2 linked regions of the Coturnix japonica genome follow. The protein of the gene in region 1 purifies or fractionates together with the protein of each later gene. This does not show direct contact. Links are inferred from orthologs where the notes say so. Each region holds a gene or a part of one and is shown in the gene's direction. Other genes may lie near its edges.

Region 1 (3,593 bases):
GCAGGACTGGAGCAGCACCTCCCCATCTCCAGCTGATGGCAGGAGGGCTCGATAGGATTTCTCAGCCTTAATCTCTTCTCTCAATCCAGAGCCCGTGTCTGATCCCAGCATCCACATCCTCGACTGGATGCTGGCCAATGACAGCTGCACAGTCACCCTTAATTGCACGGCGGCACGAGGGGACAACATATCCTACAGCTGGGCCAGCTCTGAGGCCAGCACCTCATCACCCTGCACCCACAATGGCAGCCTCCTATTGCTCTCCTACGACCCCACCAACAGCAGCCTGGCTTGTGCCTGCACCGCCAGCAACCCCGTCAGCCGCCGCACCACTGCCTTCCACTCCTCCATCTGCAGCATTGAGCAGCAAGGTGAGCCCTCAGCACCTGACCCCACTATCTCCCCCACCTCCAGCCCCATGGGGGAATTTTCTCACATTGCTTTCGGTGCCCCAGAGGAACCTTTGGCAGGAAAAGCAGCCACAGCACCTCTGTGGGTTGCATGGCCATTCCCGTAAGCACTGAGCTGTGCTCGCTGCACCCCACTGCCCCAGGCTCGCTTGGCTGGGGATGATAAGAACCTCAGCTTCCCCCAGGAGGCTCTTGAGGCCAAAATTATGCTCTCTGTCATTGGGTTTTTCTTGCCCTCCCCTGTGACGTGGGGACTTTTGCTGTGGCCATGTAACACAGTGACTGTCCCTCACCCTGGGGACACAGCAGTGACACCACCTCTCTGTCCCCCACCCACATGGGGCTCTCACCATGCCCTATGCCTGGCAAACATCCCCACAGCATCTTTAGATCTCAATAGAGAGGGGAAGGTGCTGACATGAGATGCTACAGGGCATATTTCCCAGCACTGGGTCCCCCCCAGACCTTACACACACACTATAACACCCATATTAGTGGCAGCCCCTGTCCCCATCACCAGGGCTGGAGGTACAAAGCTCTGCCCCCAGGCTCCCCACAAAGCCTCCAGAGACGTGTCACAGCCTCATCCGGCCCTCAGCAAGGTATTTTTGCTGGCAGTTGCACTTTGTAGATGGTTATAGAGAGTTCAGCTCGCAAAAAAAACCAACCACATTTCCTGCTCTTTGCTATCATTCTACTGAAATCTTCAGCTCCACAAACAGACAAGAAGATACTGGGAGGGGTGGGGTTAACAATGAGCTCTCTGTTGGATACTGACCCTCACTCTCTCTGAGCCACAGGCAGCTGGAGGACAGGGATGCTGCTGTTGGGAGTGGTGCTGCCCATATTGATCCTGATCGTGATCGCCGGGGCCTTCACTCTGGTCTATGTGATTGCAAACATGAGTGAGTGCAGGGTATGGGGGTTTGGAGGTGAAAGGAGAAGCTCGTGGCCCCCCCAACCTCATGTTGGGGTGCCCCGCTCCTGTGAGGGGAGGGTTGAGTGGGGACCTGCTTTGTTTGAAGCCCGGGGTAACAGACAGGAAGGAAAGCAGCTTAAAAAAGAAAAAAGGACATAGATACCTGCTTTGCCTACTGTGTGACCTCAAGGGCTTTCTGCGGATGCTGCACATCTCTATATCACATGGCTTCAAGGGGAAAATGTGATCTCAAGAGAGCAACACCCCTGCAGAATACCCTGGTGAGGGTGCCCCGTGCCTCTGAGCAATGATAAATTCACCAAGCCAACGAGCCCAGAGACAAACAGCTGCATCAGGGTTGGATCCAACATAGGAAACACTGTGAACCCCTCGGGGGGAGGAATATGGGGCCAGTGGGGGTCCTGCTGCCACTCCATCCCCATGGTGACTTTGCTCTGTCCCCGATGCAGGACAACCAAGGGAGCAGTCGCCGCACACTGAGGACAGCACAGTGCACACCATCTACTCTCAGGTGCAGCGGGTAGAGGTGAGTGAGCCCTGCAGGGTGCAGCGTCCTAAAGCTGTGTCCTTGCAGCTGTATGGGTGATGAGCTTGGAGCACAGGGTGCCAATGAAGCCCTATAGCCAGGGAAAGTCGGGTCATTACCATCCAGGAGTGGGGAGGTTGTGGGCCTCTCCAAGTGTCACCTCCATTAGGGCCACTTTACTTTGGGACTGTTGCTCTCAGCATCCCAAGGGGATAAACTGTATCAGGAGGCCTTGTAGTGCTGGAGAAAGGGGAGAGCTGACTGTCATTACTCACTTTTTGCTCCCTGTACAGAAGCCAAAGCCCCCCTGCAGCCCCGTGGGCACTGATCACCCCACCTGCACCACCATTTACGCTGCAGCCACCAACGCATCCTTACCCCCATACAGCCCTCAGGTAAGTGGATGGATTTGATGGGTCCCACACTTAGCACCCCAATCCAGGCACCTCTCTCACCCCACTTTGCCTCGCAGAGCCCCAACACGGAGCCCAAGACAGTTTATGCCAGCGTGATGCTGCCCATCAGCTGAGCCTCCCTGCAGGGCAGGACCCGGCTCCGCTCCCGCACCCTACATCCAAACCCCGCATCCCTGCGGGGGACCTCGCACATCCCTGCGCATAAGAAGCACGCAGCTCCCGACCCCAAAGCATCGCGCTGAAGGAGCAAAGAGAGCCACAGAAGCAAGGCGAGAAAGCAAAGGGAGCTGCGTAATGAAGGGACCCGATAGCAGCAGCGCTCGGAGTGATGGACTCGCCAGGGGGAGCCCATAGAGGACAATGAGGGCTGCCTAACCACAGCAGAAAAGGAAAAGCAACGAATCAGAAGGTGCCCCGTAGGCGGTTCCGAGGTGTGCACAGAAGAAACCGTGTCACAACGAGGAGTCCCTGCGGTTCTCCCAGCTCTCCCGTGGACGTGGGAAGCATCACATCGCTTCTCCATCCCCTGGGCTGGGTGTCCAGCCGAGCTTGGGGGTGTGAGCAGCTCTGTGTCCCCACCTTGCACAGCATCAGGACAATGGGAGGCTCAGGGTTGTCAGCTCTTTCCAGCTGTGCCATAAACCCACTTTCATCTGGGCTCAGGCAGCAGGGCCGACCTCACCTGCTATGGAAAATAAACATATAGGAAAATGTTTCAGGAAGGTTTGTGAAAGAAAACACGAGGGCTGCAGCTGGGTCAGGCTCTGGGCGGGGGGGGGGGGGGGGAGAGAAGTGCATTTCTACACATCTCAAGCTTCCTCTTCTTGTTACTTCAGCAAAAATCAGCTGAGCTGCTTTCTTGGGAAGTCCTTTTGCAAAGCTGCTACTTCCCCAGGGGCACATCCCCATAACACCACCTCCTCCTCCTCTCCTTGTCCCCTACCAGCATGGGGGCAAAGGAGGTGCTTCCATTAAGGGTTTGGTAACACGATTACTACTTCTGTATTGAGCAACCATAACTTGCATGCACCCAGTGCTGAAGAAGCAGTTGCATTACCCCACAGGGTAAGCTGAACACACACACTACTTCCCCTCACCCTCCCATAGCCCAGCACTGGGGTGAAGAGCAACAGATGAACCCGTTCCTTCACCCCAGCAAGAGAAATCATCACAAGTTCAATGCTAGACATCCCCATCTGGCCTTACACACTTCCCCACTCCAATGTTGATATGGTGTCAGGATGAGACTGCTTCCCAAAATAAGCCCCATTGGGGAAGTAGCTGTTCTGTCTCAGCTGACC
Region 2 (3,818 bases), on another chromosome or scaffold:
TTGTTTCAACACAATTATTTCCATGTTTTAACCTGCTAGCAAAGTTCAGCTTTTGGTTCTTTGCTTGGCGTTTCACTTTGCAGAGACTCAAAAGTGTTAATATTATATAAAGGCACTCTGTAATAATGGCAGTTAAAAGATTTTTGCATTATGGCAAGAGTTGGGCTTAATGCAGACAAGACATGCTTTATGGGTATACACATTCTGTGCTTTATGTATGTGAAACCTCACAGCTCTGTTTTGCTTTTGTTCTTTGGATTCCCTGTCTTTAGGATGAGCTTAACTGTCCAAGGTCACTAAGTGAGGTGGGAATGATAACACAGACTGAAATAGAAGTGAGCAAATGTGCCTGACATGCCTGAACTTTGAAGTAAAAGTAATCTGTGGAGGAATATTAAGGTGATCTTAGTGAAGAGAGCAGCTTTCAAAGGCAGAGTGTTTCTTTTAGTCAGACCAAAACTGCTTTTGAGATTAAAACTTGGAGCAAAATCACTGAGGTCGTTGTCCCCTTTGCTTCATTGCAAGTACGTGGATTTACTACTAAGCAGTGCTGCTATGAGGTATGGAATTACTGTTGTCCCTGTCATTATTAATTGGGAACCAGACACTGAGAAATTAGGGCCTTGCCAACGGGAAAAATCCCCATGCAGATTTATTGCTTCTGCACTAGGATGATTTATGGATAACCATGTAGGTAGTTACCTAACACCTCCCCAATCCACCAGCATGGTAATGTGAGGAATCTGAGAAAAATATGTTTGGCTGTACAGGCTTAGTGAGATGTTCTTGTGTCAATGGGAGAAAGGGAGTCACGTTTTGCTCCTGGGTGTATTGACCCATTCCTATTTGTCAGCCAGTTTTGTAGCAGCTGTGTCTGTGAAAAGGATTCACTCAGAGGGTTAATTACCTTTTCTATGAAAAGTAAGGCACAAATTACAAAGTACTGTTGTTGCACTCAGTGCTAATTTGCTTTCTGGCTTTCGAATGCCATATGTGCGTTTTGAATATTCTTATCCTATTGTGGTTTGAAGGGAATAGGAAAGAATATCTTAATATTATGCTTCTAACAGCTGAAGGTCTTCTCACTTTCCTTGAAGCTGAGACAGCTGCTTATGTTGGTGTGCTTTGGTGGGTTTTCTGTAAGCTCCTTCTTCCCCTTTGGCTGCCTGGAGATTATCTGGCTGCAGCCTGCAAGGATCTCAGGGATGTGGTTTAGGGGCTTTCCAGCGGCACTGCTTTGGATTGGCAATAGCTGAAGGAGGGGAATAAAGCTAGTAAGGCCTAGAGGAATCCAGTACAGCTCAGGTAGAGAATCTTGACACCTGTGTTCTGTTTGTGTCAGTGCCTTTTCATACTTTGAAAGCAATACTGTATGTAGCCTGAATGGAGTAAACCAGCGATTCTCTGACTGTTGATTGTTATTATAATCAAGTGTCCTCATTTGAATGAGGGACGGATCTCTATAGTGATGAAACATTATAACAGGTCTTTGTCTTTTTTGTGCTTTTACTGACACCAGTTATTCGTGCTGTTTTTGTGCAGACTTTACAGCAGCAAGAATGCAAACTCCTCTATAGCCGTAAAGAAGGTCAGCGACAAGAAAACAAAAACAAAAATAGATACAAAAACATTTTACCCTGTAAGTACTGATTTCTTGTGTAAGCCTATTACTTTTGTGCTTTATTATTTTAGCTGGAAAAGACTGGGTTAATTTAACATTGTGCTTTTTCTTCTCTTTAGTGGTAAGTCCTTCTTTTATGTTGTCAGTATTAGTCCATATAGCTTCCAGTCTGTGTTCAAACATTTACTCATTATAGTTGCAGATATTTTGATTCTGTAATGTTTATCTGCAGCGTTCACTTAACAGTTTAGGGATATGATGCTTTCATTTGGCAAACTGAAATGCTTACAGTTAAGAGGATTAATTTGTGGTACAGAACTGAGTAGTGCAAATCCAGCAGTGTTTGAGACCATTTGCGTTGATTCAGATAAACACTTGTTTTGTGATCTATGTTGTTATGGATTGGAAACTTGTTTTAAGTAACAGAAAAAGGGATGGGTGTTCTAGCAGTGATTTGCAGAGTTTCACAATGTAGCACTTTCTGATAACAGGAAGAATTGTACCTGTTGGTTGAATGTTTAAAAATAGCTGTATGCTCACAATTGTAGGATGCAACTGCTTAATGTATAAATATATTCTTCCAGTTGATCATACCAGAGTTGTTCTGCATGATGGTGATCCAAATGAACCTGTTTCAGACTATATCAATGCTAATATTATTATGGTAAGTATGCCCCACCTAAATGAGTCTTGCAGGCACAACCTATGCCTACTTACTCTTTTAAATCCAAGTTGGTCTTCTAAAAATGAGCATTTGTCTCCATTTCTTAAATTGTTTTTGTCTCTAGCCTGAGTTTGAAACCAAGTGCAACAACACAAAGCCAAAAAAAAGCTACATTGCTACTCAAGGTTGCCTGCAGAATACAGTGAATGATTTTTGGAGGATGGTGTTTCAGGAGAATTCTCGAGTTATTGTTATGACAACAAAAGAAGTTGAAAGAGGAAAGGTAAAAACAATATTATACTGGTCTCTGGAGCAGTCATAACATTTGTGTGCAAGTGGGATCTAAACTGACTTGGTTATATTGACTCACATGCTGAAATGCAGTGTGCCATCATGGTCTTTGGATACTTGCAGCTTAATTCTGTAAGGTATTGAATGTTCTTAATTGATGCCTGTGGGAATTGAGGATGCACTCCTATTGCATCACAAGACCTCCCTTTTGTAAGGGTTGTCTGATTAAATTCTAGCTACTGAATGTGAATCATTGCATTGTGAGAATACTCAGGGAATGAGACACTGGAAAGCTGGGTGCTGCAGTCAAATATTCTGCCTATTTGAAAAGGGATAAATTCCCTGTTCATAAAAGTTGAATACTTTTTTTTTTTTTTTTTTTTGCTGTGTGCTCTGGCTGTGTACAATGCTTTTATGTCTGGTTACTTAATCAGCGATAGGGAAAGAATGGCAAAAGTAACAACAGCAAAGCATCTTATGCTGTATCTTTTATTGGCAGAAGAAGCTTCCCTTGTTCCCATATATTCTTGTAAATCTGCACTAGGTGCTGTTAATAAGAAATATTTTTCTATGGTATTTGGTGCTTGGTCTGTTTGCTGTTGCTGGAAGCTGCATCTGTCTTCCCCACTATATTTCTCATCTAATTTTGTGTTAGCCTTCACGAGGCTAACAGGAGCTGTTGTTGCAGGAACCAAATTAAAGAAGTAATAGGTTAAGCCACCCTTCAGTGTGTAGAATACATCCCTGGCCAAAGATAACCTTGAGAGAGAAGCAGCATGCTGAAAGCTCTAAATGTCGAAGCCTACAGATGCATCAGGCCGTCTGTCAAAGGGAGCAGTTCTGTGTTGCTTTGGTGATTGAATTAGAGCTATGTTAGCCCGTTTTTTCCCTGATTCTAAGCAATGAAAAAGCGAATGTCCAAGCTGCATTCCTGTTAAAAATGATTTATATCTTTGACTTGCGTTTGTTTTGCAGCCTGTTAGGTATTGATTTTAGAGCAGCATATGGAGCTGCAGCATTCCCCTGAAAATTCTTCGTATTTTGAAACAAATAGTTGGGTGGAGGTATAGGTAACTGCATTTCAATCCCAGGGCTTTGCAACTATGAGGCAAAACTGGTACTAAAATCATGAAAGCTGCTGAAAGGAGAGATTGCATGTACCACTTTTCCTGAAATAATTCCTTATTTGAGATATAGAAAAGAAACTTTCCCTTCACACATACTTTAATGTGTCATTTGATG

What was found.
Region 2: the proteins of signaling lymphocytic activation molecule-like (region 1) and PTPN11 purify together in Homo sapiens (affinity purification with western blotting; 3 studies listed by BioGRID and IntAct, with this or other methods). This does not show direct contact. The link is inferred for Coturnix japonica from reciprocal best matches to the Homo sapiens genes SLAMF1 and PTPN11.

Annotation. Positions count from the first base shown.
Region 1 is NC_029540.1:806,533-810,125, forward strand, and holds the end of signaling lymphocytic activation molecule-like, read left to right. Parts: intron 1-89; coding exon 90-371; intron 372-1,210; coding exon 1,211-1,315; intron 1,316-1,799; coding exon 1,800-1,876; intron 1,877-2,169; coding exon 2,170-2,271; intron 2,272-2,348; coding exon 2,349-2,405; 3' UTR 2,406-3,014; downstream 3,015-3,593.
Region 2 is NC_029530.1:5,551,427-5,555,244, forward strand, and holds part of PTPN11 (tyrosine-protein phosphatase non-receptor type 11), read left to right. Parts: intron 1-1,542; coding exon 1,543-1,639; intron 1,640-2,205; coding exon 2,206-2,285; intron 2,286-2,409; coding exon 2,410-2,568; intron 2,569-3,818. UniProt on the Homo sapiens protein: Acts downstream of various receptor and cytoplasmic protein tyrosine kinases to participate in the signal transduction from the cell surface to the nucleus. Positively regulates MAPK signal transduction pathway. Dephosphorylates GAB1, ARHGAP35 and EGFR.